6 separate regions of the Mus musculus genome follow, and all the other regions are reported to be linked to region 5. Evidence: microRNA targets listed by miRTarBase, many of them from high-throughput screens and not tested one by one. Region 5 holds a microRNA gene; each other region holds the end of a gene's coding sequence.

Region 1 (5,089 bases), not on the chromosome of region 5:
ACTGCCTAAGCAGCTGCCTCTGTACTTAAGCCCAAGTGACCTGCCAAGAGAAGTGTCTGCAGCAGTTAGAAGAGAAGGGCATTCCTTGCTTGGATTATGTGTGGGTGCTAAATACGGCACTTGAAACCTACATCTATGAGGTGTAAATTTTTAATACAAAGATGACTCACAAGGTTTCACAATGTGTAAATATGAAGTACAGTCTAATTTATAATGTCATGGGTTCTTACCACAGCAACGCTGCTTATGGGGTTGATTAGCAAATTGTTTGGACTACCAGGAAACTTGGAATTTGACACTCCTTGGTTAACAGAGGAGACTCATGGGACTTTTTTTTTTTTTTTTAGCTTTTGTTGCTGCATTTCTATCTTGTACCAATGTTACCTGTATAACCTACATTTTGAAGCATCAGATTTTGATGGCAGCATCCAACATGACATTTCTTTGGAGTTGTAAAAAATCAAGTTGATACTTTGGAGAAGGCACAATGAAAAACTTAAATAGAGAGCAATTATAAAGATTTAAAAAAAATAGGGGCTGAGAACATAGCTTGGTGGCAGTGTTGATCTTGAATGCATGAGGTGCTGGGTTCAACTGTAGAATCATAAAAAGTGGATTAAAATTCTGGAACATAAAGTAGAATTTATGTTTTTCCCAGTTTCTAACAGTGCACATCTTTGTCTTGTGATGCTGTGTAGAATTTAAAACACTCTACTGAGAGTTTAGCAAAGGTAAGCAAACTGAAGAATGGTAAGTGGCAGTCAAGCACAGCCAGAATCCACTTTCCCACTGAGGTGTCTTAATTTGCCTGTGGCAATCAGGATGCACGGTGTACAGAAATTAAATAATCAGTGCTCACAAACCTAGTATCTTGTTTCAATTCTGAGCCAGCTCCACCAAGCTACCCTCTGCCCCACATGTATGCCACAGCATGTGTTAAACATGTCATGCACACACAATGAACACATTTTCAAAACAGGTAGATAACCCATGTTATACACTTGAATATGTACCATTTTTATTTACCAATTAATGTCTTTTCCTTTTGCAACTGAGTCTTCCTGTGTAGGCCAAACTCAAACTACAGTTGCCCCACCTCAACCTTCAAGGACTAATTAAAAGTGGGCATCATCACACTGGCCCAATTAACTACTTTAAAAATAGAAAATCAATGAAATATTTTAAAAATAAAAAGAGAAAGCTAATGGTAAGTAGCATGTCATGTGAATGCTAAAAAATCGAGTTTAGTGCTTGGTGAGTTATTTTTAAATGCTTCTGTTCTAGACATCATATTAAATCACTACAACAATATTAAACTTTTCCTTTGGTTGAGGGTGAACTGGCAGAAATGAGCCCTTTTATGTCTTACAAGTGAGATCTGGACATAAATGGAGCAGTCAAAAGAACAGTCTTAGAAATTATGACCAAAGAATCAGGCACTGCCAAGAGACCAGAATTCAAAAGAATACTGTAGTGCTCAAGAATCGTGTGGCCTAGCAGCTATGAAAATATGAAAGAAGGAAGGAGTTCTAATGAATTTATAACAAAACCAGCTATTATTTATCATTCTTTCTAAAGCTATGGTAAAAAAAATAGACAGAAAAATATGTGTAAGTAGAACATAAGACTAATTTAAAAGAATTATGAACTTAAATTATGATTTCATATTTTCTGCACAAGAACAAGTGATTGTTTTCTTCATTTCCGTAAGTCAGCCAAAGCAGAATCCAGGGGTGACCTGGACGATTTAGCCACCACACATTCAGAATTGAAAGCATTATCACAGTGTCGGCTTCTGATCTCTTAGGTGTCGGGAATGTTTGTCTTGCACGGTTGCTATGGAAACAGTTGTCATCAATGTGTGTTTTCAATAACAGTGGACACTGAGTCATCCTTTGTTAACTTGAAGGCCACTGGAGAATGTCATTCATGAGAACGCCCAGAGATAACAGCAAATACACGTTCTTGGATCCCCAGAACCAACCCTTGCACAGCGCTGGGTCAGAAGAGGGCTTTCATCAAATATTTGCTGTTGTAATCTCTTGAATCTACCAGGGCTCCTGCTCTCATTGGGTTGACAACCTGGTTGGTTTTCTTTTGAAGATTCAGAGCAGCATCAATGTCACAAACAACATGGTGCTGAGTCAGAAGTACTCTGCCCTTTCAAAAGTGAAATGTATGAAGCCCAGGCTAGGAAAGGTCTCCCCAGGTGACCACCACCTGTGTGGTCTACAGAGTGAGTTCAAGGCCAGCTGCGGCAAGTTAGGAAGCCTGTCTCAGAATAAAAAAGTAACATGAGTGCTGGGCCTATCAGTGGTAGAGCCTCTGGGTTCAACTCTCAGTGTCACAGGAAAAAAGAGAAGCGCATCCTGTCCCGACATGCGGTAAGGGAGGCAGTATAGACGAACATCATGTGCTATGCAAAGCACTCTAAGCAAGGATTTGTGAGGCAGAGAAATCCTTTATTGCCACGGGAAGCAAGTTCACTCATCTCTTCAACAGTTTTAGGAATCACAAAAATGCAGAATTCACACAATAAAGAATAACACAGACTTAGGGAGAAATGGTCCCTTGGGTTATATTGGCTGTAATACTGAGGTAACCAATTGACCTTGTTCAGTGGAAGTATCTTAAATGAAATGAAGAACACCCCACTAGTTATAACATCTAATTTATATATACCATTCAAATAAAAATATATATTATTTGCTTTAATGTATAGCAAGTTTAATACATTAGTGTTCACAAGATAAAAATTGTATTCTACTGAAAATTTGTGTGTGTGTGTGTGTGTGTGTGTGTGTGTGTGTGTGTGTGTGTGTGTGCTTCTTCTCTATCTCTAAGCTTGGAAGTCAGAAAAGTATGCTACTTAAGGAGACTTTCTTCTGGATTTAAAAATGCAGGTTCTAGGTCCAGGAGAGACAGATATATATCAGCTGGAAGACTACTGCATCTTTTATAACTTGCAATGTTAAAATCTACGAACTTGAACTGTAAGACATAGTTTTTTTGTTTTTCGTTTTTGTTTTTTTTTTTTTTTAAAAGAAAAAGGACCACAAAATTTCTCAAAATAGATTAAGGAACACAGGAAACGGTTCATGAAAGTATAGGGATAATATCCAGTGCTGTGGCTAATATTAAAAACTGAACATTCTATTTAAATGGTATCACACTAGCTCTACACACAGTGGACAGTGAGACCACAATAATCAACCTCACGGTAGAAACAGAGGCACATGGTCCCTAAGATAGTTTTTAGTGGGCAAGGTGCTATGGTCCAATAGAATCATCTAGGAAGGGAAAAGCCTTGTAGTTGTAGTAAAGCTGTTTACTGGTGTTTCTACTGTAGAACTCTTCTACAGATCAAATTGAAAAGTGACTATCTATGTGACTGCTTAGAGCCTGTGGTGGTGCACACATCTCACCTAACATCTGGCCAACAGATTTCAGTATAACAGATTAGGAACTCATATCTATAACAGCATGATCTAAAGCAGAACTGAAAACAAGACACACATTCCATGTCCATTCACCCACATCATCCATCATCTTTATCACATTTAGGGCTATCTTACTATGCCTTAATTTGTTTAACATATTCTGAAATATCAATGTTTTTAAGTCAAGGCTTTTACACAATAACCCATTTATTTCATGTCCTCTGTCCAACCTTTGTTACATCTTAAGCAGCTGCCATAAATATAGCCTACCTCATTTTGGGAATGTTACTCCAATTTTTAATTTGTGCATTGATTAAACCAATGAAGGTGACATTATTTAGCGACAGCTACATATTTCCTATTAATCAAAATCAATGTTATCAAGTATTAAACACACAGTCTTCTCCTTGGTGTAAATTGTGTATTTATCTTCCATCTTTCTCCAGTCACCTTGCCAATAACTACATTGCCCAGACTTTCTTTCTATGATTGCAAAAGTTCTAATTGCTGACGAGTAACATTTATGGCAAATACACTTAAAGTAGACAACAAAATTTCAAGTAAAATGAATGGTATCCACATCTATTAGACCACAAGGTATCAACACCTAGACTTGTTTCTATAAATTACAAAGACATGTTGTACATTCTTAAATAGTGAATGCCTACAATATTGAGCCTTTCCACACAAGCAGCTTACACAGGAAGGTAAGTGGTCAGTGTCTGTTACATTGCAATGCTCTCTTGATTCCCTCTTCTGTGGTTGTTGTTTTGTCCTGATGTCCACAGACTACTGTGTGGGTTCTTATGCTTTGGCTATGGTCTGTGAGCTGAATGAGGCAACACTGGTTATTAAGGCTTAATCTATGATGGAGCATTATCCTTGAATCTGGTGCCATTTCCAGAGAACAGTAGGAGCATCTCAGCTATCTTGAGTCTTCAGGCTCTGTTTTAATAACTTTCTTTTCCAAGGTGAATGCAGAGTGAGGATAGTCTTTTAGAATCCCAAGGCTCTCTACATAAAACAAAACCAGAAAGAGTTTGGAATTTGAAATCAGTGGACTACAACATCAAGTTATTAAACCCCAAACTTCCTAGCAAACATTAACTATTCATAATTATGAAATTCCAGATGGAATTTTATTTAGTTGTTAAAAGCATGGGTTATCGCAACATGGTAGTGATGTATTTCCAGGACTCAGGGACGTTGAGGCAGGAGGTCTACTTCAAGTTCCAGGTCAACTTGGGCTATGGGCAGAGTACCCAGCCAGCCAGGGTCACACAGCAAGAACCCATTTCATGAAAAACAAACAAAAATAAAGACAGACAGACAAACAAAAACAAAAACAAACTCACAGTTTTATTTAGACCCCCAACTGCACCAACTGCTAGGTATAAACTAATTGGGGTAAGTTACATAGCTGAGCTTTGTGTCTTACCTATAAAATGAGGAGAGTATAGACATAGAATATAGTGAGTGGCAAGGGCAAGACATACATGAACCCATAGACCTTTCTAAATTTATTTTATTTTATGTGTACTGGAGTTTTGCCTGCATGAAAGTATTGGAACCCTGGAGGTAGAATAGCAGACAGTGGTGAGCTGCCATGTGGATCCTGGGAATTGAACCCAGGTACTCAGGAAGAGGAG
Region 2 (5,089 bases), not on the chromosome of region 5:
TATGTTATTTTCTAGGGAACTCAAGTTTAGAAATTCCACTAAAGAATAAAAACAACATACAAGTTTCTAACTAATTAGGAAAAATTTAGAACGTTTAAAAATACAATTCAGAAGATGCAATGGTTTAAACCAATACCACAATGTATAGTTTGACTCCCCAAAGAATCAGTGGTTACATGTACACTTGAATATAAGGGTACTAAGTATATTTAATATTAATATGTACTACATATTAATTTAATTTATATACTAAGTGTAAATGGACTAAGTGCTTTAATTAAAAGATAAAAATTGTCAGACTAAATGACAAGAATATGAAGGGTTTAGGACTAATTCAGGATAGAATGCTTATCTAGCATACAGGAGACTGTTTAAACTACAGCACTCAAGGAAAAGAAAGGAAAATGTGCACATTTGACATGAGTCCCTAATACATGACCCCTTCCCCAAGAAAGTACACACTTAGTGAAAGAACACCAAAATAATATATTATGAAGTTACAAGAAGGAAATAGGAAATTAAAGACCCAAGTTTGATTACCATTCTCTCTCTCTCTGTGTCTCTCTTTGTGTGTGTCTCTGTCTATGTCTCTATCTGTCTCTGTCTCTCTCTGTCTCTGTCTCTCTCTGTGCTAGGGATGGACACTAGGCCCTTACACACACTAAACATGTGCTCTTATGCTGAGAAACACACCCAGCTTCTACTTCTGTAATCTTTAAACAAGACTTCTCTCAATGATTATGAAAAAGTAAATTCCCTTTGAAGCATTGCGACAATATTCATCGTAACCTTATCAAGCATGGAAATGAAATCTAAAACTGGGACTATCCCCTCTGACAATGAGTTTAGGTCTTTGTTCTGATTTCACTTCTGTTGAGGTGATAAGATGTTCCAACAGAAAGCAAAACAAAGGGGGGAAGGGTTTGGCTAAAATTCCAGTCCTTAACAGCAAGGAGGTCACCAGTTGGGAAGCTTGAGCCAGCCAGTCACACCATACCCATGGTCAAAATCAGACAGAAATAAATGCACCCATGCTCCTGCTAGCTTGCTCATCAAGCTAATTCAGAACTCCATGCCAGAGAATGGGTCTTCCTGCATCAATTAGCAAGATAATTCTACATCTATACATGACTACAGGGCAAGCTGATCTAGATAACTCCCCAAATGAGGCTCTCTCCTGAGGTGATTCTGTATTTCAACAAGGTGACAATTGGGGGTGCCTAGTCTTGAAATGCTAAGTTTAGTTGATATACATAGGAGTCCTGCCCTTTCTGAATATAAATGGAGTAGATGTGAATTGGGGGTGGGTGGGGGGGGACTCGAGGAGAGAATTCGGGGGTGGGGCTGGGAGGAGAGAAGGGAGGAAAAACTTGGGTCAGAGATATAAAAGAGAATAAGAAAAAATTTTAAAAACTAGCTACCACAGTCTCTAATACATCCTGGTGACTTTTATTTCTTCTTCCTTTTTTTGTTTGTTTGTTTGGTTTTACTTTTTTGAGACATTTCTCTGTATAGGCCTGGCTGTCCTGGAACTTATACTCTGTAGACCAGGCTGTCCTTGAACTCACAGAGATCCACTTGCCTCTGCCTCCCAAGTGTTAGGATTAAAGGTGTGTGTCATCGCAGACTGGCTCTGGTAACTTTTCAAGAGGAGACATTCAAAGTCTTTCTTCTAAGCATGGTAGGAGTAGGAGATAAAGACTATTCTGACTGTGCTAGAAACATATCTTACAAGGAAAAAAGACAGCAGTTACCTGTAACAGGAGAAACTTTTACCAGCTACACTTCATACAAGGGGCAAATTTCTGGAATTTACAAAGAATTGCAGAAAATACTAAGGGAATAAAAACTGCCAGTCAACAAACTGGCAAATAAACAGAAAGGACAGTCTGAAATATAAAAACAAAAACAAAAAAAGTGGCCATTGAAACAAGGGCTCAGACCTTAGTAGGCCCTGAGACCTCAGCACAACTGACTCCATGATAGAAGTGCCATTCGGGTCATACCCTCAGCACTTAAGACAGCACCATCTGCCAAAACTGAAACAAAGGCCTCATCCATCAAACTCCATTTAGTCCTGGGAAAGTCTCAAAATACACTATTTCGTTTCTCCAGTTCTGCTTCTGGGTCTCGTTAACTGAAGTATGTCAATCCACAACATGGTTTTTGTGCTTAAAAGATCATCCTGAAAAAGGCTCAGTGCTACACTGGGATCCTGAGCACCCATTTGTGTACCCAGCCGGGTAATAAAAACTTAAACCCACGTCTGAGCAGTCTCCTCTGGTGAATATCCCACAGAGCCATAAATATTTTTTATTAAAAAGTGTTCAATATCCCTAGCCATCAGGCAAATGCTGAGATACCATCTAACCCCAGGAGGGCTACCATCAGTAAATCTAACAAATGCTGAAAATGATATAGACAGAAAGAAACCCATACTCACTGTTGGTAATGGTGCAAACTAATACAGACACTGTGGGATTGAGTTTGGATAGTCCTCAAAAAGTTACAAAAAGAAGCCTGACGTGGTGGTACACGCCTTTAATCTGAGCACTCAGTAGGTAGATCTCTCTGAGTTGAAGGCCAGCCTGGTCTATAAAGCTGAACAGGTTCCAAAAGAGCCAGAGAGACCCTGTCTTAAAAAAAATAAAAATAGGCCTACTGTATGATTCCATTATTTTACTCCTCACTATAGCCAGAGAACTCTGGACCTTACCAGAGAGACATTTCCCACGTTTACTATTGCTTTATTCGCTAGAGCAAAGAATTAGAATCAACTTTCCTGCCCATCAACATATGAATGGATAATGACAATGTGATACACAAATAAAAATGGACTACTATTCAGCTCTAAATGAAAATATGATTACGCCAGGCAATGATGGTGCACAATTTAACCCTAGCACTCAGGAGGCAGAAGCAGGCAGATCTCTAAGTTCAAGGCCAGCTTAGTCTATGTGAATTCCAGGACAGCAAACCCGCCACCCCTACTACCCCAACACAAACAGCCAAAAAAAAAAAAAAAAAAAAAAAAAAAAAAAGCAAAAGCAAAGTGATTGCAACATTTGCAGAAAAATAGATCAATCCAGAATGTATAATATTAAGTGAGGCCACATGACCGCAGAAAAAGGTGCATGCTCTTCATATGCAGAATACAGTCAATAATATATGTGTATAAACAAATGTATAAGTGGAGGCAGTACAACATACAGGAAAGAAGAAAGCCTAAGTCTTAGAGGATGCGGAAGGACTGCAAGTAGGAAATGAATTGAAAGCTAACTGTCTCTAGTTCCAACTGACAGGGATTTTTTTTTTTAAGTTTGAGTAGTGGATATGTGCATAAAAATGATTTCAAGAGTTAAATATAAATCCAGTGTGAGGCTCTATAGCTTCTGTTCCAACTAGCTATTCAAATTGTAAAGAAGTTCACTGACTTGTACAGTCTTTGGGTCTGTTTTGTTTTGTTTTGTTTTTAGAGGGGGTATTTATTTGCAATGCTCTTTTATAATAAAAAAAATTGTTTTTAATTTAAAAGCAATTTAAAAAAAGAACCACTGAGTCTAGACTCAGTGTATGTGAATCCTAAGAAAAACATCCAGTAGACTGGGCTCTGGTCACTTAACTCCGTGTGTGTGTGTGTGTGTGTGTGTGTGTGTGTGTGTGTGTGTTGTATTCTTTCGTGTGAATGCATGTTTGTTTGTTTTTTTAAAGAGCATTTTTTGGGATGATGTCAGTTAGCAAAATGAACAAAGATGTGCAGGTGAAAGCACTGACTAACCAAAAGTTAATAGAAATCTAAATTACTTGAGTGTGGCTGGAAGGATGAGATGAAGGTGCACTATACAGAGGTAATTAAAGGAAAAGGCCTGGAACACGGTCCTGTGGATGACTTGGTAGCTGAAATCACTCCAAAAGGCAGAGCCCTGGTACCTGACAGTGTAAAGGAGGAACTCCTACAGAGAACAGAATATCCCTTGTTCAACATACCAGGTAATGTAAGGGTGGACTAGAATGTGCTGTTCTGTGGATTTATTTCTGAAAGTAAAACTTGCTGTAATTAGAAATTGATTTCCCAAAATAAAGTCTTGTTTTTTGTATGATAGAATACAGTTTTCAGTTTTTAAAAAAAAAAAAAAAGCATATTTTGGAGCTGGACAAATGGCTCAGTGATTAAGAGTATTTGCTGCTCTTGCATAGGTCCTGGGTTCAGTTCCCAGCACCCATACTGGCAGTTTACAACTGCCTTTTAATTCCACTTCCAGGAAATCTGATGCCCTCTCTTGACCCCTGTGGGTAGCTATACTTAGGGTAAACAAACTCATGTAGACACTCACACATGCATGTAAATAAAAATCTAAAATGAAAAAAAACTGAGATTATGACATCAATTTAATCATTACAAGTAATATCTATATATGTGTGTGTGTGTGTGTGTGTATACACACACACACTAATGAGTTAGAATAAAAATGGCTCAAAATAACAGAAAACAAAGTTAATTAAATTTTAATGCATATTGGTGATAGAATCCAAATAAAAATACTCTATTTTCATAGTTAAAAGTTTCTTAAATCAGATCTTCTTTCAAAGTGCTTTCATGTTTTAATTAGAGAATCACTTTATTCAAAGAATCATTTTATTTACAGTTACAACTTTTGTTTTGTTTTTAAACCCACTCGATGTGTGTGTTCTTCATATTGGTATTAAATACCTGAAGGAGTTGGGATCTTATGAATACAGCCAGGACAACAATGGAGAGAGTCATGAACAAAGACATCACAGTCCACACAAAAAACATTTTGGCACACTGTGCAAACATAGACCTGCAATGGAAAGGAGAAAGGCAGATAAACAAAATTAGTTTCCAAAAGTTAAGAACTGCATAGCCAAAAGACAATTCAGTTGCCTTGCTCCCTATATTCTTCAATGTTTCCCTACCCTCCTACACACCTTATTAATCCCAATGTGTTAAATCTAACACAATTTCCTCAAACCTCACACATTTTTTCCCTCTTCAGCCAGCCCTGTGGAATAAGGAATGCCTCTTAGAGAACGGCCTTTCAATTGCAGTATATGGCAAACAGAGCTG
Region 3 (5,089 bases), not on the chromosome of region 5:
AAAAAAAAAGGCAAATGAGACGGTCCCTGTTCTAACGTATTAGAGAAAGTAAAGCAGGACATAAGGCTGGCAGAGGTGTTTTACTGTCTGTCTGTCAGCAGTCAAACATACACTCCGAGACAGTTCTGGGAGGAGACAGCCTCTGGTCCTGCTGGTGTGGGGACTGTGGGTTGGGGTGCTGTTTCTAGCCTGAAATAATGTTAACTGAAACTGGGAACTTTTACAAGGTCAGGCCACTGCTGATTCACAGCTGGCCTTAGGGTCTCCAAAGGGCCTCTCTGTGGATAAACGAATGATCAGCATTAAAACCGGGGAGCAGGGCTGACAGAGGGAGACTTCCTAAAGATGTGTTGGAAACCCCTGCCTTAACAAGTCTCTTTGAACCAGGCACAAGAGTGCAGAGAAACCCCACCACCCTGCCCTGGCACCTTTTCTTAGCTCTCTTCCCTACCTCTCCATAGGAAATAGAAGCCAGCTCTGGCCCACTCCCTATGTGGAGACTAGAGTCTAAGGATGGACCAGTGCCCCCAGGACTTCCTGAGCGGATCCCGTTCTGGCTTCACCTTATCCTGTCTTTTGACCTTATATCACAGAGCATTAGACAGAAGGTAGGAAGCCTCTGTCTGGATCTCAGGAATTCCCTCAGCCCCTGGGGAAAACCCAGTGGCAGATGAGACAGTGATTTTCCCTAGTCTCTCTCGGGTGGATACTCGGACAGATGGAAATTCTCTTTATGATTCTGTATATTTAGAAGAGGGAGTCTCTGGTAATGTGCTTTCTAATACGAGTGATTTAAAGGGTGTTCAGTGTCTGAAGCCCTTTCAGCAGTGTAGACACTTCTCTTGGTCTTATTTTCCAAAACGGACTGAATTTTAGCAATGACAAGCCCAGAGGTGAGCATGTGTGCATGTGTTCCAGAGCACTCACATCAGAGAATAATGAGGTGGAGTCAGTGCTCTCCTTTCATATCCATGCAGGGTCCAAGGGTCAAAGTGAAGCTAGGTGAGGCACGCCTTTGACCCCATGTCTGTCTGGCCAGCCACAGATCTCATTCTTAGGAGTGAAGCCTTTCACATATTATGGCATCACAATACACTAGAGCACACAGTGGGTGCAGTATGAATAACTGCTGAATAGCTGATTCCTCTCTATTTCATTCATTCACTCAGTTTTCCCATGCAACCTATCACAAGATTATTTCTTTTTTTCTTCCAAGACAGAATTTCTCTGTGTATCCCTGTCTGTCTCGGAACTCCCTCTGTGGATCAGGCTAGCCTCAAACTCAGAGATCTGCCTGCCTCTGCCTTTGAGTGCTGGGGTTAAAGGTGTGTGCCACCACCACCTCGCTGTTATTTCTTGATAGCCACTACCCAGCAGGCGCATGTGGCTGTGCAACTTAGGCTTGACGCTTCTCTGTGGACTTTAGAGGTCTGTGCCCTTATGGGGGAAGGGCTTATTTTAATCATGTAGCAGTACTGGTTGTCATTACTGACAAGTCTATTATTTTCCAAGATGCCAGTAAGGCACATCCCTCCATGGCCTCTGCATCAGCTCCTGCTTCCTGACCTGCTTGAGTTCCAGTCCTGACTTCCTTGGTGATGAACAGCAATGTGGAAGTGTAAGCTGAATAAACCCTTTCCTCCCCAACTTGCTTCTTGGTCATGATGTTTGTGCAGGAATAGAAACCCTGACTAAGACACCCTTCATCGGAAAATGTAGCCAAGCCCTTGAAAGTTCTGCACCTGTGCACTATACACACTTCTGGCTTAGTGTTACCCTCTCTTCTGTTTCAGTTGTGCTCACCCCTTTTGTTTTGGAGCACATGCATTTTTTTTTTAAGATTTATTTACTTATTTATTATACGTAAGTACACTGTAGCTGTCTTCAGACACACCAGAAGAGGGCATCAGATCTCATTATGGGTGGTTGTGAGCCACCATGTGGTTGCTGGGATTTGAACTCCAGACCTTCGGAAGAGCAGTCGGGTGCTCTTACCCACTGAGCCATCTCACCAGCCCGAGCACATGCATTTTAATAGCTGCCTCCAATCTTTCTGAAATGATGCAGAGTATTGATAAATAAATAGAATTCAAAGATATTAAATTATCGGCTTCACACACACTGAAACCCACCAGAAGAGATTTCCTAAGATAAATATTTATAAAGGGACCCTTCTTTTAATGAAACCTCACAAATACAGTATTCAGATATGTTAGCTGATATTGTCATTTCTGTGGTTGATGGTATTTGAAAGTTGCCTTGTGAAACCTGGGACTCTTCCATAAGAGCTGAGAAACACAATGAACCTTGCTATGTACCTGAGAAAACTTTCCAAACAATGTTTAAAAAACCAAGATAGCTAAGAAGATGACCCCAACAATGTTAGAAAAATAAAGAGAGCAAAGACATCCAAAGCTACCAACGGAGACAAATGGCTTATGAAATGAGATCAATTCCTTGGCTCTGCACAGAATCAACACCAATAGCATTAACTAATATAACCCATGCTCACTCTCTTAGGCTACAGAAGATGCACACAGCTGCCACCAGACCATTGCTACTTTTATACCTAAACACCAGCAGTAAAAGGAAACTTTCTACTCACATGAAAATCTGTCACTTTGTATCCATATTTCTTCTAAACACACCTAAGGGAGAGAAGGTTACCCACGACTTCAGCTTAATAGATGCAATTTAACCAGGCAGATTTCTTGCTCCTAAACCAGTTTAAAACTTAGGTTTTAACATCATGAGATCAATTTGACAGTGAATTTTCCAGGGTGATTTGTCGCAGGCCAGACACTGGATCATGGTGGTTAAGTTTAAGAAAGAGGATACACAGTTTTGTCAGACTTTACATAAAAATGATACCATGAATATACTGGGTTCTATGTAATTAATATGAAGTGATCTAAAAACTGTAATTATTTGATTGCAATGGCATAGACTAGCTAGGGGCATGGTATGCAATTTATTATGCATTGTCTTAAAAAATAATTTCAACTGATATTTTTCTGGTATGCCTCTTGCATTGGTCATGGGGCTCCAAAACTGCACCTCCCTGTACTGTAAGCTCCAAGGGAGGAAGTTACAGGTCTCCTCATGCCTGCCACTTAGCCACTGGTGTATTTCAGCGAGTTAGCGCAACAGGAAGCGCACCTTTTCTCTGTAACTCTAGTGCATGCCAAGAAGACATCAGCTTCAGACTTTAAGAAAGGAGAATGTTTGTTGATTCTCAGGAGAATTTTTGGCAGATGATAAAGAGGGGGTTTGGTCTTTGCCCTACTTCCAGAAAATTCTCACAAAAATCTTAGTGTGAGGAAAATTGTCTTCATACACAAGTACACCCGCTGTTGAAGCCATGGGATCCATGGCTGCTGGGGGGATATAACTCACAGGCTTTTCCTGTCACAGATTCATCTGTCCTGTTTTGGGAAAATTCTTTTAAGCATTCCTCCGGTGGCCTACACTTAAATGTCACCAGGTAGCATTTCTCTGGGGCTCTGTGAAAGTACTTTGGGAAGGAACAGGAAAAAATACTCTAAAAGCGAGCTCTTCCGAAGCATGAGGTCCGTGTGGGAGTGTGATCTCTCTGAGCTCATTGACCTAAGTCCCTGGCCTTCTGCACCACCGTTTTCAACAGCAGCAGCCAGCCAAGTGGTTGCCTAGCTTGAAAAATTAAAAAAAAAAAAACCCTCTGCAGAGTTTATAATTTTAGAAATATGAAGTAAGATTTGTAATGTGATCTCAGTGGCAGAGTTACTTCTCCTCGAAAAGACTTTTTATCAGATTGTAAAACAAATAGCCTACTTATTCCAGGCATATCAGAGGCATGGCGTCACAGCCCACCTCTGCCCTTTCACCATCGTGGCAGGAGCTCAAGGTCTGGTATAAGGGAATGCATGACAGACAGTTCATGTCTGCCAATGCTTTTCTGACCTCTGTAAGAGATTGCTATCTAAGCTTTTACCTTTTTTTTTTTCCTCAAGCTCTGATGGTGGGTCTAACTATACTACTGTGTCTGCATGGGTGCTTTGTGGGGGATGCGTTCTCCGAGTCCTTTCTGGATCCTAAAATTATAGTCTGGAAACTGTAAGAACTTTGGTGAGTGAGGAACCGTGGGTCTGCTCCACGGTTAGTGGGAAGTTTAGTGAGAAGGTGAGGTGAGATGTAAGGACACAGTGTTGCTGACAGAGAAAGTCCTGAAACAGCCTGACCTACTGACCTGGGGGAGGAGCTCACAGCGCTGCTCTGGATGGGCTGACAGCTGCCTCACACTGCACTGCCGCCACCTTTGTGGCTCCTTCCCCCGGGGCTGTGTTCTCAGGTGGGATGGAGGAAGCTTCCTCCATCTCTGTAAGAAGCACAAAGATCCATCCTGCAAAGCAAACATTTGCTGCCATCGGCTGGGCATCTCACTAACAGAATTTCATGTAGTCTTTTGAGTTTGATTTTTGTTTGTTTGTTTGTTTAACAAGAGGGCTAGTTAAGGGCCCTGGGTAAAACCCTTCAACAGAATTCCCCTGAAGAGCAAAAGTAGCAAATGACAGGTTATGCCTGGGGATGGACCTTGGGGAAAGGCTGGGTTTGTGAAATGAGAGTTGGAAGAAGTTTCCACCTTCTAGCACATAGGCTGATGTACTAAGAAACCACCCTCTCTAGGCTCCTGCGCGGTTAGTCTTACTCCGGAGAGCAATCTAACTCGTCATTTGCAATCAGGGCCTCCGAGTTCTGTTTGTGTTTGCTTTTGCTTTTCGCTTTGCTACTCGTCCGGCTGTTTGCCTTCGCATCTGACATCTGTTGGTAATAGAAGCCTTTGTCCTCGGCGGGCCCACCCCAGTCCTCCTGGCTCTCGCCCTCGGTGGCGTAGGAGAACCCCTCCTCCACAGAAAAGGGATCATCCACATCGTAGCGCTGGTACGTGCTCTGATGCAGGGCTTGCTCTCGGGCGCTGATTTCCAAGGTGCTGTTCCAGATGCCATACCCAAAATAAATGAGCATACCTGTTGGGAGGGGGAAAGCACAATGAATAAGCAGCTATCTTGGGGCCCGGGGGCCACTGGGGAGATCACACCTGACTAGGGCTGGG
Region 4 (5,000 bases), not on the chromosome of region 5:
GAGAGCCACGTGTCTTAATCCCGCCGCCCGGTCTCCACTCCGCTCTAACCCCACAGCCTTCCTGCAAGGCCCTGCGGGAGAGCGCGCACAGTATCCTCAGGGGAGCCCCGCGCCACACCCACCGCACTTGTAGGGTCTCCCGCCCGCCACGTGGCTGCGGCTATGCGCCCACCCGGGCCCCAGCACCGGTCCGCGCACCTGGAACCCGACTTGCCAGCTTGGCTGTCCGCGCCCTGGAACATGTCGGCCGCCGCCCCGCGCTTTCACAGCCGCCGCGCGGCGGTTCCCGCTTGGTCCCGCGCAGGTACCCTGACCCGCCCAAGCCAGTTGGACGCCTCTCGCGCCAATCATGTCTCTGCAGCCTATCGTAGAGTCGTGCCCCACTCCTCCCTCCCGCCCCCAAGGAGAGGGAGGCTTGGAGGCCCGCATCGCGCTTACAGCCGATTGGCTGCAGGGGGCGCCTCTCATGGCCTCAGGCGTGGGCATTGGTTCACAGCTCGCCCCACCCCCAGCCAACACGCCTCCGCATGCGAATCCGCATTTTCTGGCCGACCTATCCCGGGCTGGATGGCACTAGGAAGTTTCTGGCCGGTGGTAGCGGAAGGCTTCTTTGGGGTTACAGCACCTTCGGGAGGAAAGGTTCATGGAAGCGCACAACATACCCATAACAGAAGCAGCGAATTCTGTAATGAATTCCGCATTCAGCGGTCACTCAATCGCTGAATCTCTGATGCCTACCTGTTTGCTCACCCTCACCTCCAGGGCACCTCCAGGCCTTAGAGCTCATCTCATTACACTGTGCCTGTTGGAATACCCTAAGCATACTGGCTTTGAAAGCAGGCACAAAAGACAGACATTAGATGAAGTATTAGTATGTATTTATGCACAATAAAAACATTTACAAGCCGAACTGGAAATTTTAGCCGAAGTTTTAACAGTTCTTGTTTATTAAATAACCAAAACACCTTTTATTCCCAAAAAATTGGTAAAGAATAAATAATGTAATTTACAATATGGTACAAAAAATAATCAGAAGGACAGGCATTCTGCTTTATACATACACTGTATATTTATAGTCTATAAAACAAATTCACATCTCAAGCCGGAAACCTCAGATGATATGGCTTAACGATTATCAAAGCAAACAGCACTGAGCTCTGCCTGCTGGGGGCACCCCTCCAGCCAGTGATCTTACGAAAGAATAAGGGTCTGGCTGGGGCAGTGCTTCCAAAACTGGACTGACCACACCAGGCTAGCCTCTGGGAAAGGTATACTGTGGGTTTCTTTCCTTTTTTAAAGTGTTTTTTTTTTTTTTTTAAATTAAGACAAAGTACGGTATTTCCTCATGAATGCATCTGGGAGATTTGTTTTTAAAGTACATAAAACAATTTCCTTCTAAACTTATTTTGACCATTTCTAATAATATGGTTTGGTTAAAAATGCTATTGAACTGAATGACACCTCCCCTAGCAGAGGCTATCACAAGGAATGAAAAAGAAGAGGAGGGTAGGAAAAAAGGTTGACCAACAGATGAAATGTCCCAAAGTCCCACTCCCTGAGCAAGTACTATGCCCGACAGGATCTATGGACTTCAGCTCGCCTGAGCATCTTCTCTAGGACACAATCCATGCCAAGCACCAAAGATACAGGTTCCCCATCTTTTAAAAAGATGAATCAACATGTCTAAGAAACATTAATATTAACAAAAGATTTTCTCAAAGAATGACCGCATGTAAGTCACACTAAGTTCCAATGAGGAGAGGAAGCCCGAGTGAACGCCAACCATCCAAACTGATGGAAGGAAGAGAAGGAAGATGTAGAACCCAGGAGCCTGCCTTGCTGTTTTTGTTTTGTTTTTTAAAAAACTCTAACCTTTAGCAGTTTTCAGGTTTTATGCATGGATATTTGCTTACGCTGGGAGACGTTGTATCCACTGATTCTCTGCTACAAATGCCACCATTTGTCCTTTAATGTGGCGATGATGAGCAAACCAGTATGGCTGGTGAAGAACCTTCTGGAATCTTGTCAGCTTCCTTACAGTAACGCACCAGTCCATCTGATGCCGCTTGCTACTGGGAGACAAGGGCTGTAGTCTCTGCTCCTCAAGACGTCTCAACTCCTTTTAGCCGGCACAGACTAACATGTGCCTACAGCATTCACTGCCTCATGGAAACCAGCTTAAGAGCCCAACTACCTAGTTCTACATGCGCAGTTACCAGGATTCTACAAGCACCCATGCTTATTAATGTTGTGGGAGAGTCTACCTGAAACACAGGAAGAGCAGCTAGCAGTGGCCTGAGCCTAGCCTGGTACAGGCTACAGTCCCAAGATCTAAATGCCTTCAGCTAAGTAAGGCATTGCTGAAAGCACACAACTGGGTAGAGACACATTGGCTACCTTACCACAGTCTCTTGACGGCACCATATGCTTGCGCTTCTCATCTAACAGTCTGACTCTTACCAGATGTGGGGTCTGCATGTCAGCATCTGGGACAGATCCTTCACCAGTACCAGAGCCCTATACGGTCTTTGGAGCAGAGCCTGCACTCTAGGGTTTGTAGTAGCCAGAGAGGCAACTGGATCAAGTGTCCCAAAAGGACATTCCCATCCCTTTCTTCATTGCAGACAGAGAGACGTAAGGGCCTAGGATGATCTTAAGTACTACTGTGCAAGGAAGGAGGCTAGAACAGCTGGAAAACAGAGGTGGCAGCTTTAGGAGTTACAAGGACCTGCCAAGCTTGGTGTGGTAGCACATTACTTTCAGCCCAGCACTCAGGAGGTAGAGGCAGGTAGATCTCCAGCCAACTCAGTCTATAAATCAAGTTATAGGATAGCAGGGTTATACAGAGAAACCCTGTCTCAGAAGAAAAAGGAAAGGGGGTGGAGTGGGGTGGGGTGGGGTGGGAGGGGTGTCAGCCCTGGCTAGCATGTGGAGAGTGAGCAGTGACGTGGCTAGCACAGGGGTCACCTGTTCAACAAGAAATAGCCATGGCTACCTGATATGCTAGGTCCAGCAAGAGTGACCATGTTACAAGAATCTACTAAAGGGCAAAGAAGGGGAATGGAAGTATTTTTGGCACCACTCTGAGTCCGATGGCCTGAGCATGACAACTGACTGACCACCTCTGGGCTCCTGAAGAGGGCTGCTAAAACATCATCAAGCTGTGAGCTCTTCCTACACCCTGACATCTAAACCTGGCTTGGGTCCCAGAATAGGAAGAGAGATAGCCTGGGGCAAAGACACCCCTCAGATACCAGCAATAACACATGAAATTTTAAGTGTGGATAAAATCTGTAGACATTGCAGTGCATTTGGGGGTTGGGGTAGGGTCAGGCCATTAGAGAGAAATGGTATCTCAGATCACTTAGAAGGAACTAGGCTGGGCAGTGGTGGCGCACAACATTAATCCCAGCACTTGGGAGGCACAGGCAGGCGGGTTTCTGAGTTCAAGGCCAGCCTGGTCTACAAAGTGAGTTCCAGGACAGCCAGGACTACACAGAGAAACCCTGCCTCAAAAAACCAAAAAAAAAAAAGAAAGAAAGAAAGAAAGAGAGAGAGAGAGAGAGAGAGAGAGAGAAGGAACTAGGCATTAAGCATAGGTAGAAAGCAGAGCCACCTAAATAAAGGACTCTTACTATTCCTTGTCCATATCTCTCAATTCTTAAACCGCAAGAAAGCCATTCCCAACCAGCTTTGAAAGACCATACAAAACATCCATACAAGCTCCAAGAAACAAAATTTCTTCCCCCTTCCTCATGCCAGGCAGAACCACACCTCTGGATGGTTTGGGTAGGAAGCACTAGTTGAGGGCTAAGTAGTCTTGGGAAGATACCATTATCTACATGGCTCTGGGACCCTTCTCTGCTTCATGGTCAAGGCAACCAGGAAGTATCTTAGGTTGAAGATACCACCAGGCAATAGACTGGACTATACTCACAGTCCCTTGCAACATCACTGCAGACAGAACAGCCAAGTGGAAAAAAGATATCAGAAAGAAAGCAGCAGTGGCTATGGCCTCCCTTCGCATGGATAACAGCTCCAAAGACAAAATGAACACCAGGCAAATGAACTCCTCTTGCAAGGAGGAGACCCCCTGGAAGGCTCAACACACAGACAGACATACAGTCAGGACGCCACACAGGCTACAGGACTTCAAGGGCTCTGATACCAAAAGGATTTCTGAGGTCTACCCTTCTCGGGTCAGCTGTCCTGGCTTCTGTGGATGGTACAACCCCTACTTGTTGCACAGGCTGTCCTTTGCATGTGGATATTGTTATGCTGTTAGAGGTGCTCCTGTTCACTGTCTTCTCAGGATTCTGGGCTTGACTTTCTCTACTGTGCAGACAGATTCATGGGACCAGCTCCGTAGACCTCCTTTGTGGATTCCACGATGCCCGTGTCACAAAGCATAGTCACTGAGAGAGGTCACCAACAGGATTACCACCTCCTCCACCATCAAAAAGAACCTCCCGGCGGCCAGGCTCAGTGATGGACAATTCTTGGGCCAGGTCATTAAACCGAGATATGTAGTCAATGCTGTTCTCGTTCATCATGCACACCAACTGGGAATCCACCACCTGTAGGACAGAAGGGACAAGGAGACATTAGTCTGAGGACGGCTTACCATCCAGAGAGAGGCTCTTGACCCCCAGAGCAGAATGTCAGTGGAAGGAGCCAACTGCTCTATGAGGAATTTTGGAATCCTTTGTGGTCTAACCACATGAACTTTTTTGTAAGAACATACTCTGCACAAGCCCCTGGGAAAGCCTCTGAGAACATGAAACACCTCGATACTGAGAATATAGTAGCAGCAACTCCATCTGATACTCATGAGGAAGAGAGTCACAGAAGGGCCAACAGTGACAAGAGAAGGCAGAGATCAAAGCAAACAACAGTTAATGAGGGTCCCTAAAGCATCAGGGCCTCACACGTGTGGTACAAGGTCCATGAACATACTAGGAGAGAACATCCCACCAAACGAGAAGGCAGAGCCAGTTACC
Region 5 (5,089 bases):
TGCATCAGATTATACAGAAGTTTTTAAACCCTAAGATTTAAAAACTAAATTTCTAGGGTGTTCTTAACAGGATTTCTCAATAAGAGAATAATTTCTTCAGAAAATGTTCTGTTACATTTTTACCTTAGAAATGTTGCTTTATATCTTGCCAGAGCATTTGTTTCACATGACTTTAAAAGGAGAAGAGAGGATGGAAGGACACAGACACAGACACACAAAGACACACACACACACACACACACACACACACACAGCACAGGGCTGGGGACACTCTTGAAGATACATTTGAGTTTCATGTGTTTGAATAGAAAAATTAAATCACAGGATTTCTTTAAATGCCAAACAGATTTCTGACACTTGGTCAATTCTAAAACCTGTTTGTTTTCCAGAATCAACAACGTTTTGGGTAAAAACTTCATCCCACTCCTGGAGTTTCATGACTCTAAGTGCTCAGTTCTGGCTTTGCTTGATGAAGCGAAGGCCAAGTTGGATGTCTGGAACGGCACTTATGAGAGCAAGGAGTCTGTGGAAGTCCTGCTGGAAGACTGGCATGTGAGCGGCTGCGGGCTGGGCGTCTGCTTCCCTCTCCTGCTGTCTGGATTAGCTCAGGGATTCTCCCTTTCTGGGCTTGGGTGTTTGTTGGTAGGCCTCGTTAGCTTCAGTTTCCCTGGAGAAAACCATCAGTGGTGGTCAAATAGCTGCTAGAGAACGAGTAAGAAGATGAGGATTGCCTTGGTCAAGATGGAGTTAGGATGGTTAGGGCCATAAAGAAGGCTCCGTTGTGGTCTTTTCCCATTACAAAGTTTTGCTTACTTTTGTTCTTTTTTTCAATTTATGCTTCCATTCAACGGTTCTCTTTTCTTTGAAAACTTTGGTCTTAGCCCCTCAAGTTTTTTTTCTTTTCTTTTTTTATTATTATAATATCTAAGTATACCCTAGCTGTCTTCAGATGCACCAGAAGAGCGCATCAGATCTCATTACGGATGGTTGTGAGCCATGTGGTTGCTGAGATTTGAACTCAGGACCTTCAGAAGAGCAGTCAGTGCTCTTACCCACTGAGCCATCTCTCCAGCCCCCGCCCCTCAAGTTTTATTTTGAAATTTAAAAAAATATAGTTTCAGTTACTTTGGTGCTTGCCACGGATGCGTGTGGAGGTCAGAGGACATCCTGTGGGAGTCAATTCTTCCCTTCTGTCACGTGGGTCCCAGGGACCGAATGCAGTCCTCCAGGCTTGGTGGCAAGTGCCTTATGCACTGTGGTGCCTTCTTGGCTGCCCTTCACCCAAGTTTGAGTAGGAAATGGCTTAAATGCTTCAAAGAAAAACCCGTCACAAAAACCAAAAGCATAGGCGTGTCCTTACAAGCATAGGTGTGTCCATGCAGAAATTCAGATGGAAACCCCATGGGGCGCCTTCTTTATGGGAAGGGAGGGTGGGGAGACTTGAAAAACTCAAAATTATAAGTTTCAAGGAAATGGAAGAGGATGATGAAGACATACATATCTGTTTATAATTGATCATTTAAATATTATGCTCTTCCAAATTGGAGGCATCATTCTAAACTGGGCTAGGTTTTATTTATATATAAAACATGGAGAACAGTACTACATATAACTTTTTGTCTTCTCTGAAGTTTTGTTTTGTTTTTTTTTTCTGGGCTTTTGTTTGTTCATTTGTACTTTGAGATAGGGTCATATGTAATGAGGTTGGTCTTGAACTCCCGATTCTCCTGTAAGTGTTAGATTACAGGAGTGTGCCATCATGCCCAGCTTTGGATTTACATTTCACTGGTTCAGTAATCATAGTAGTTAGCTAGCACAAAATAAGAATATAATCAGTGGTTCTTAACGTTCCTAATGGTGTAACACTTTAATACAGTTCCTTACGTTTGGTGACCCCCAATCATAAAACTATTTGTTGCTACTTCATAACTGTTATTTTGCTACTGTTATGAATTGTAATGTAAATATCTGTTCTCTGATGGTCTTATGCAACCCACAGGTTGAGAACCGCTAATATAATAAACAGGCGGTTTAGAGTCGGCTCTGAGTTAGCCCCAGGATTTTCCACAGCTGAATTAGTTAATGATAGTTTCACAGCCTTCTTTGTGCAGGTGGGGATAGCTTCTGAAAAAGTAACCTAATGTAGCTAATGAAGACTTACTAATTAGTGTGAATAAGGCCTGGGAAGCCTAAGCTATTGACACAGTTACACAATGTTACTAAGACGGACGAGCTGGAAGGCTTGGATCTGCTATGACTGATAAACTTGCTTTTTCCCATCAGCTGGACGCAGTGTAAAGTCACATGGCTATGTTAAGGTGAATCTGCTGTGATAGCCCTGTGTCATTGTGCTCTTGCATCTCCTAAGTCCTAGCCACCCTTCCTGAACCATTCCTTCCATTTCTGCTGCTGCAGTGTGGTGGTATTGAATACTCAAACATTGCTGGCAACCTTGCCCTTTACTGACATCACATACTGACATCTGGATTTCTTGGCACATTTTCAAAAGTAAAATCTGTCAACATTTTTTTGCCTCTCCTTCACAGAAATTTACTGGAGAAAAAAAGTTCCTAATTCAACTTGATGCTTCTTTTCAAAAATGTGAAGAAATGTATAAGAACTCGGGTAAAGTATCCTAGTTGCTTTTTAATGGGTCAGCTATCATTTCAAGATGAGTATTGTTTTACTTTGATGGTTTGGACATTAACTGTTTTCATCCCTGCTTTCCTTTCTTTTGCTTTTAATATTGTTAGGCAACATGCTTGTTGGTTAATGCAAATAATTTTCTTAGTATCAGTTACAAACAAAAACCGTTTTGTAAGACTTGTTGTTTTTGTTTGTTTTGCTGATGCAGCCAGAGAATGTGAGAGTATTAGAGAGGAGTATATGATGCTGGAAAAGAATGTTCACTCGTGCAGACAATACATCCATAACACGAAGGCCACACTGCAAAGAGCACTGATGTCTTGGGCAACTTTCGAGGAAGATCTCGCCCTACTAAAGGCTTCTTTTGACTTGACAAAGAAGGAACAAATTAAAGAGGTATTTGAAGTCAATGGTTCTATCCCAGTTTTACATTTTATTTTTGGAGACTGACTACATACATACACCATTCAAGTTAGGGATTAAAGGCATGCATTACCATGTCCAGCTAGAATGAACTTTTCTATTTCTTTTTGTTTGGAAGCCCATTTTGAGTCCAAAAGTTGAGTGTCAACAAAGGAGTAAACATATCTTCTAGAAAATTCTTCAAGAATTTGGGAAGAACTTAGTTTTTTCCTAATGTAATTGTCAGAGAGTATTTCCTTTGAATTGTACACACACACACACACACACACACACACACACGTTTACATAATAATACAGCTTTTTTTTTTTTTTGGATCACTCTATCAAGAACCTGGAGACAGGTTCTTGGCTATATGATCTAGGCTGGCTTCAGAGTCAAGACTCTCCTGTTTTCATGGGACTTCCTTTCTGATAGGATTACAGGCATGTCCTACCATGCCTACCTAAATCACTGTTTTTAAGAATTACAATTTTCCATTTAGTTAAAACCTTTTTCCCCTACATCTTTTCTGAATTTCCCTCCTACAGAGGGTCCCAGATTCATTTGATCAATAGAGGCTAATACCACCTTCATGATGGTTTTCCTTAGTCTCTAGGCCAAGAATTATTTAACACGTCCCAATTTAAGTCATCTAGTTTCTAGTTCCACAACTTAGTAGCAGCATGGGTTCTAGGAGATAAATGCTGCTGAGACCACGCCAGAGTTAAAAAGCTCTAACAAGATCTCTGGCATCATGGCAGAGGTTCGGGATTGTATGTTCAAGATGGCATTTTCTGAGTTATGTATATTTTAATATCAGATGTGTGGAAGGAATGTCAGTGCAACTATTATTTTTGTATGCCAGCTAGGAAATAGCATGTGTTTCTGTCACTCGCTTTTGTAGTTGAAAGTGGACCAAGACAGCCTTTCACTCTGAATGGAGCAGAATTACTTTGTGGACAGTAGGCTCTTGGTATGGAAGAAATGCAGGGAGTATAGGAGTGCACAGAGAGCACCTTAGACTTAGAAAGTTCCCTCGTCTCCCTGTCACCTGGGTTGGTCCTATAAGCTCATACCATTGGTTTTCAATAGTTCTTCTGTCTTTCAGGGTCTGATATTAAAATGTACATAAACCTGGGGAAAGTTGCCGTCTTGAATGTGACTCTGCTGAGATACTCTGGGCTTCCAGAGATCTTAAAAGAGACTTTGAATTTTACAGGAGACTTGGTAGCATCTATCACATAGACACTGTGCCAGTATTACATATTTGCCCTAGATGACTTAGGAAATTCTTGGCCTTGATATTAAATATCAAGTATCAAGGCAATATTGCCTCTATTGAAACCATTACCAGAGTGGTATGGCCTCTATTAATCAGATGAATCTAAGAACCTTTGTTAGTTTATCAGATACTTAGAAAAGTTGACCAGGCATTTCTGAAGAGTCCTGGGCCAGGAGGACAGTGTCGAGCACCTGCTAGGCAGCAACCCCAGAAAACAAGCTGGGAGGTCCTCTAAGAGGGAAGTCAGTTTCTCTTCAAAGGCCTTCACACTCAGTCTCGCTGAGAATAAGCCTTAGCAGAGCCTCTGGATAATAGCAATACAATTCTCACATCAAACATTTCTGGTGCTTATCTGTGACATAGGTTCCCGTTGAGACCCTCTTGCAGTGGAACACAAAACACACATCTTTGAATGAGGTGGGGAGTTTCCTGATTGGAGTCAGCAGTAGAGAAGTTGCCGCATCTATTTCTAAAGAACTGAGAAGGCTCAATAAAAGATGGAGAAAGTTCATCACCAAAACTCCACTTGTAAGTTCTTGTTTCTGGCAACAGCTTTCTGGGGATATAATATTTGGTCATGCAAGTAAGTGTGTGTGTGTGTGTGTCCTCATCTGCTGTCCACACTATTTTTGAGACAAGGTCCCTCACTGAACCCGGAGCACCTCAGTTGGGTAGACCAGCTGGCCAGCAAGCCCAGTGATCATGTCTGTCACTCCTCAGCCCCAGGATTACAAATGTGCACCACTCTCCCTGACTTT
Region 6 (5,089 bases), not on the chromosome of region 5:
CACAGTGGTCACTGCCACGCTTGCTGAGACGGGCCTCATGTCCCTGGGGACCGTGCTGCTCCTGGCCAGCCGCCTCCTCTTTGTTATTGTCAGCATCTACTACTATTACCAAGTCGGCCGGAAACCCAAAAAAGTGTAGCAGGCTGGGACCTGCCTGGGCCTGGACCTGGGCCCGAGCAGCTGGGGACTTCACTGTCCATGGGTCCTAGACAGGCCTGCAGGCAGGCAGGGTGCACACGCCTTCCTTCCCTCCCAGGCACTCCACGGAGTCATCTTGGGTCTCCTGGGATTCTAGGAGTGACAGACCAGGCTGTGGCCTCTGCACCCCACCCCTCACCCTTGTGCAGGGACAACTCCTTGCCCTGTGTTTCTTGGCCTCTAGACTCTAACAGGCAGAGTCTAGAGTAAGTTTTAGGGTCTGGGCTGAGTCAAGGTGAGTTCCTCTGCCAGGAAGCCCTTTCTAGGAGGTTGTGTCGGCCCCAGCAGGGGCTCTCAGCTTCTCCCCATCCAGAAACCCGATGTGTGAGTCCCTCATCACACACGCACACACACACACACACACACACACACACACACACACACACACACACACACGGTGTTTCTAGAGATCCAGTTGAGGACATCTAGCAAGGGGAGTGACTGCCTCCCTTGGGCCAAGTTCCCCAGCCTCAGCCTGCACATCTCTCTCTTTGGCCTGCTGGAGGGTACTCTGATTCTCTGGCTGGCCGCCTGCGTCCCAGAGCACCAGAGTCCCTTCCCGACAGGCTAGGGTTAGGCAATGTACCACAGGCCTGATAGTCCCTGGCTCCTAGCTGCCCATAGGCTCCTAGTGCATGAGGAATTCTGAGGAGAGGACAAGTGGGGACATTTCCTCGGCATGGCCTCCAAGGCCTGCATGGCTACACACCTGGCTCAGTGCCTCCTCCAGATCCCCTCCTGAGGCTGCCCCAAGGCCTACGGGTTAAAGCCAATAGCTGCTCACATGCAACAACGGAAGGAGATTCAAGAGTCTGCCATCCCTTAGCAGCCCCTAAGTGGGCCTCTAGAGCTGAAGACACACCCCTGGTGCCACCAGCCTGTGTGGCCCCTCCCCTTGGCCCTAGCTCCCAGCACCTCCCTACCCTTCAGCAGCAAGCACACTAAGAGATTTGGCCCGAGGCTTCTCCCTTCTGCAAGGGGGTGGTCCCCTATACCCGAGGAATCTTTCTCTAGGGCACCTGGGCTCACAGCCTCCCTGGGCTCGGTTGTTCCTGCTGCCAAGTGCTCTGTGACCATGGCCTTTGCCTAGTGGAGGGAACTCAGTGGAGGATGTGCCCAGCAGTGGCCGGGGCTGCTTCTGTAACCAAGGTCTGGCAGAGTAGCGATTCCCTGCGTGTTCAGGAAGGGCCCATTGTGTATACCTGCCTCTTGTCACTGGCTTGGTGCCAGTCCCTCAGTCCCACCTCTTTACTCGGACCATGGACCCTGCCACTGCCAGCTCTTAGTACAGTCCCAACTACCGTAGACCAGGTGACATTTGTTGACACCATTCTCAGAGGTGTTGAAGATTTATCATCTTGAATCCTCCACAAATACAGATACAGTCCCAAGGGAGGTAGTCGTAGAAATGGAAGACGCCAGCCCTGCGCAGCCTGCAGGGACATCCGCCAGGCTTCCCCTCAGCAGCAGGAGCCCAGGTCACCCTGGTTAAACTGCAGTGATACATTTAGGTGGGTGGGGTCAAGGCATATGTGGCCTCCGGGAGACACCTGCTTGGAAGGAGGCAGTGATGGAGATAGAGCCCCACTCTGAGTCTGGGCTCAGAGTGCCCTGACTGCTCTCCCCCACCCCATCCCCAGCTCCTCTTGTCATGCTTCTGCCTGGCCCCCAAGACTGCCTCTGTCATGGTCACTATTTATTCTTGGTCCCTTTTTCTTTTTGTAAGAAACAGTCACAAGAAAACAACAACAACAACAAAAAACAACCAATGAGAAACAATCTGCGTGGTGTCCTGTTTTATATTACAAAATTTCTCTTAATATAGAATATAAAAAGGGGAGACTTGGGAGATACAATGATAAATTAGCTCTGTTTCCTACTGCAAGGGACATTTACAAATTCCAAAATAGACTTTAGCATATGACGTGTGTGTGTGTGTGTGTGTGTGTGTGTGTGTGTGTGTGTGTGTGTGTGTATCAGAGTTCCTGGGGATGAAGGTGCTGGGTTCAGAACCCAGGTAGGCCAGGGGCTTGGGACAGGATAATGGGGAGCATGAGCCACAGGTCCAGTCTTAGCTCCTCGCCTGTCAGATACAGCTGTCCCTTAGGCCACTGCTCTGGGACAGGAAGTGGCTGTTCTGCTCACTACTGGCTGAGGCATCTTGGGGTGAAGGAAGAGCTCCCCTCCATTCCTCTGGGAGTACACAGAGCAGCTCACCAAGCCCCACCAGGATGACCTCAGACAGCCTTGCAATGGCTACCAGCAAGCTCAGAGGGTGAAGACTGTGTCTGTCTGGCCCCATGAGGATGCTGAGAAGCTGGGTTGAATCAGGGCTACTTGGGAGCGCTTCAGCGTAAGTGTGGAAAGTTCTGGTGAGGGACTCTGATCTGCCCTGGAATTGCCTAGGCTCCATATCTGGCTTCTCAGTCCCTCCCTGTCCCAGCCCTGCCCATCTCTGGAAGCCTGGGCTAGTTCTGGGTGGCAGCCGCTGTGGTTGGGCTAAGTCCTCAACCTAGCCATGAACTTCCAATCAATAGCCAAGCCATTTGCCTTCCTAGACAGTTGGAGTCCAGTACGTGCTGGGTTCTGAGTCAGCCTGGGTCCTCTTAGTCTGGGGGTGCAAGCCAGCAGAGGGGCCCCCTGATCTGGTGACTCAGCCTCTAGGGAGCTTACTATGGGGATGCCAATTAAGCTGTCATAAAGACAACTTCCGTATAGCATTCAGAGACACCCACTCCCCGGAAGGCCAGGCTGGGTGAGGACCACATAAAGAGGAGAGAAAATGGGAGAAGTAGCCCCCCTTGCACCCAGACAGCAGAATAGAACAGGCTATGGCTATGACTCCCAGGTGGCAGAAGGGCAAAGGAAGGCTGGAGTTCAGGTCAGGCTCTTCCATCTGAGAGAGGAGAGCAGACACCTAGCTGTTCCTTCCACCACTGTTCCCCTTTTGTGCCCTTGGCAGACATAATTAATCAAATTTGAGATCCTGACAGACAACACTAATGGATTCAACACGGTCCTGGCAGGGTCAGGCATCTTGCAACTAGTTGCTAACCTAGCCTGCAGTTCAAGTTTGTGTGTGTGTGTGTGTGTGTGTGGGGGGGTGTTGGTTGGTTGGTTGGTTGTGAACCTATTAGTCTGGGGTGTTTGTTTGTGTGTGTGTGTGTGTGTGTGTGTGTGTGTGTCTGTTGGTTGGTTGGTTGGTTGTGAACCTATTAGTCTGGGGTGTTTGTGTGTGTGTGTGTGTGTGTGTGTGTGTGTGTGTGTGTGTCTGTTGGTTGGTTGGTTGGTTGTGAACCTATTAGTCTGGGTAATCTGAGCCTAGAGAGACTAACAAAATAAATGTTCAGCAAAAGGTCAGAAGGTGTCACGGTAGGAGATGCTGTGGGGTTAAGTCTGCAGACAAGAGGCATGACCTTAACCTCTAGAAAGGAGAGAGAGTGAAGGGGTACACAGACGGAAAAATGGAAACCCCTTCTGTCTGCGGAGGTGATGGTGACATCAGAGCATCTGAAGGCAGGAGGCTGAGTTGGGAGGTAGTGAGATCCATCCGTATGTGGAGGGATGCAGGGGTGAATTCTTGGCAGGGACCTTGAAGAACACATTCAAGCCTCAGCTCTGGGTAGAAAGAGAGAAATGAACAATACTGGGGTGTCTTCCACCTGGGAGAACAGGGGTGGGGCATGGCCCACGGGGACAGGTGATGTATCACAGTTGGATCTCTGACAGAGGTACAAGCAGGGCAGAGTGGACACAGTACGGACTGTAGAGCTGGATGCAGGCAGTTCCTGGCCAGTTTACATCGGGGTGGAGTCCTGGCTGGAGCGACAGCAGCCTGGAGATGACCTTGTCATGCACATGCTGTGTGACTGGACGGAAATGAAAGGGCCACCTTCTGATCCAGTGTCCACACACAGCCACCCTCAGCCAGCGGGAGCAGGGACCGCTTCGCTCTCCAGCAGATGGTGCTGCAGAGTCTGTCCTTGTGTTGTGAAAAGCCGGCTCCTTGGGGCCTGAGGACCGGGCTCCTCCTCCAGGATGTGTTTCTACCTCCTGGTTGCTCTGATCCTGGAAATGCTAAGAGAGGTGATCCGGGCCAAGGGACACTCCAGTCTGACAGGGCCAAGGGGCTCTGAGGCTGATGAACCTTTGGTCTCAGGAACAGCTGGTCCCAGGCCAGCCCTAGGTCCTTGTAGAGCCCATGCCCCTTGCTTTAGAGCCTAGGTGAGGCCCCTTCATGTCTGTCTTTTTTGTTTGTTTGTTTGTTTATTTAAAAATTAGCTCTATGCTTCTGGCCGTTTGGGCTGGCCTTGCTTCCGCCCCTGGGGCCAGAGGACAGGGAAGAGAAGGGGCTGGCTTCTGGGCAGTGGTGGGCTGAGTGTCTTCAGGCCAAGGCCTACTGGATGCCCCGGAAGAGGCACATGGCAAAGACCATGAGGAAGAGCTGCAGAGAAAGGGAGAAGATGATCTGGAGTCAGACTGGGTGCACGTCGAGGGGCTGCCCAGCACACCTCCTGAGGGGAATCGTGATTGTGACACTACCCGGGGCAAGCATCTGCTCGCCACTTGGGTAAAAAACAGGCGTTGGAAAGCAAGTCATCTGTTTAAACAGCTCAAATCTGTCTTTTTTGGGTTGGCAGAGACTTTAAGCAAAGCACAACCCTTCTTGGGCACCTGAGTGTGTACCGAGAGCTTACCATGTAAAGTAGGTTTCCAATGCTGTTAGCAGCAGCCTTTCTAACCAGCAGGAAGTGAGGCATGGAGATGTCGGAGATGTCTTACAACCTGATTTAGGTCACACAGCTTCAGTGGGGGTAACCTAGCTTGAGCAGAGACACACTTCCCCCCTCCCTCCCCCCACCCAGCCCTTGCTTCTAAGCCCCTGCGCTCT

The links. The annotated mature microRNA mmu-miR-5101 reads UUUGUUUGUUUUGCUGAUGCAG and lies in region 5 at 2,833-2,854, shown strand. An mRNA with a match to its seed (bases 2 to 7 or 8) in the 3' UTR can be bound and repressed. Matches are read on the target gene's strand: a 7mer-m8 pairs with bases 2 to 8, a 7mer-A1 pairs with bases 2 to 7 and ends in A, and an 8mer does both.
Region 1: miRTarBase lists Nab1 as a target of mmu-miR-5101. Seed matches in the 3' UTR shown: 7mer-A1 at 3,586-3,592, 7mer-A1 at 3,022-3,028 and 7mer-A1 at 3,009-3,015.
Region 2: miRTarBase lists Gtf2h2 as a target of mmu-miR-5101. Seed matches in the 3' UTR shown: 7mer-A1 at 4,660-4,666 and 7mer-A1 at 4,655-4,661.
Region 3: miRTarBase lists Slc7a14 as a target of mmu-miR-5101. Seed matches in the 3' UTR shown: 7mer-A1 at 4,466-4,472, 8mer at 4,462-4,469, 8mer at 4,458-4,465, 8mer at 4,454-4,461 and 7mer-A1 at 1,808-1,814.
Region 4: miRTarBase lists Cramp1l as a target of mmu-miR-5101. Seed matches in the 3' UTR shown: 7mer-A1 at 1,850-1,856, 7mer-A1 at 1,845-1,851 and 7mer-A1 at 1,364-1,370.
Region 6: miRTarBase lists Tspan18 as a target of mmu-miR-5101. Seed matches in the 3' UTR shown: 7mer-A1 at 4,460-4,466, 8mer at 4,456-4,463, 8mer at 4,452-4,459, 8mer at 4,448-4,455 and 8mer at 3,345-3,352.

What each region holds. Positions count from the first base shown.
Region 1 is chr1:52,454,853-52,459,941 of GRCm38, forward strand. It overlaps Nab1 (Ngfi-A binding protein 1), which reads right to left. Exons shown (of 8, transcript NM_008667.3): 8 at 997-4,454. The coding sequence ends at 4,366. Among named protein-coding and RNA genes, the nearest start is that of Gm23460, 13 kb to the left of the region's middle.
Region 2 is chr13:100,464,204-100,469,292 of GRCm38, forward strand. It overlaps Gtf2h2 (general transcription factor II H, polypeptide 2), which reads right to left. Exons shown (of 16, transcript NM_022011.4): 16 at 4,374-4,823. The coding sequence ends at 4,704. Among named protein-coding and RNA genes, the nearest start is that of Naip1, 14 kb to the left of the region's middle.
Region 3 is chr3:31,204,396-31,209,484 of GRCm38, forward strand. Slc7a14 (solute carrier family 7 (cationic amino acid transporter, y+ system), member 14) reads right to left here. Exons shown (of 8, transcript NM_172861.3): 8 at 1-5,003. The coding sequence ends at 4,681. Among named protein-coding and RNA genes, the nearest start is that of Gm33834, 26 kb to the right of the region's middle.
Region 4 is chr17:24,960,370-24,965,369 of GRCm38, forward strand. Cramp1l (cramped chromatin regulator homolog 1) reads right to left here. Exons shown (of 21, transcript NM_020608.3): 21 at 857-4,577. The coding sequence ends at 4,413. Jpt2 (Jupiter microtubule associated homolog 2) reads right to left here and starts at 254. Exons shown (of 5, transcript NM_198937.2): 1 at 199-254. The coding sequence starts at 242.
Region 5 is chr12:75,906,322-75,911,410 of GRCm38, forward strand. Mir5101 (microRNA 5101) reads left to right here and starts at 2,782; the gene lies at 2,782-2,864. Syne2 (spectrin repeat containing, nuclear envelope 2) reads left to right here. Exons shown (of 116, transcript NM_001005510.2): 14 at 390-552; 15 at 2,547-2,625; 16 at 2,855-3,042; 17 at 4,695-4,859.
Region 6 is chr2:93,199,781-93,204,869 of GRCm38, forward strand. Tspan18 (tetraspanin 18) reads right to left here. Exons shown (of 10, transcript NM_183180.2): 10 at 1,980-4,642. The coding sequence ends at 4,595. It overlaps Trp53i11 (transformation related protein 53 inducible protein 11), which reads left to right. Exons shown (of 8, transcript NM_001025246.2): 8 at 6-1,977. The coding sequence ends at 139. Among named protein-coding and RNA genes, the nearest start is that of Trp53i11, 15 kb to the left of the region's middle.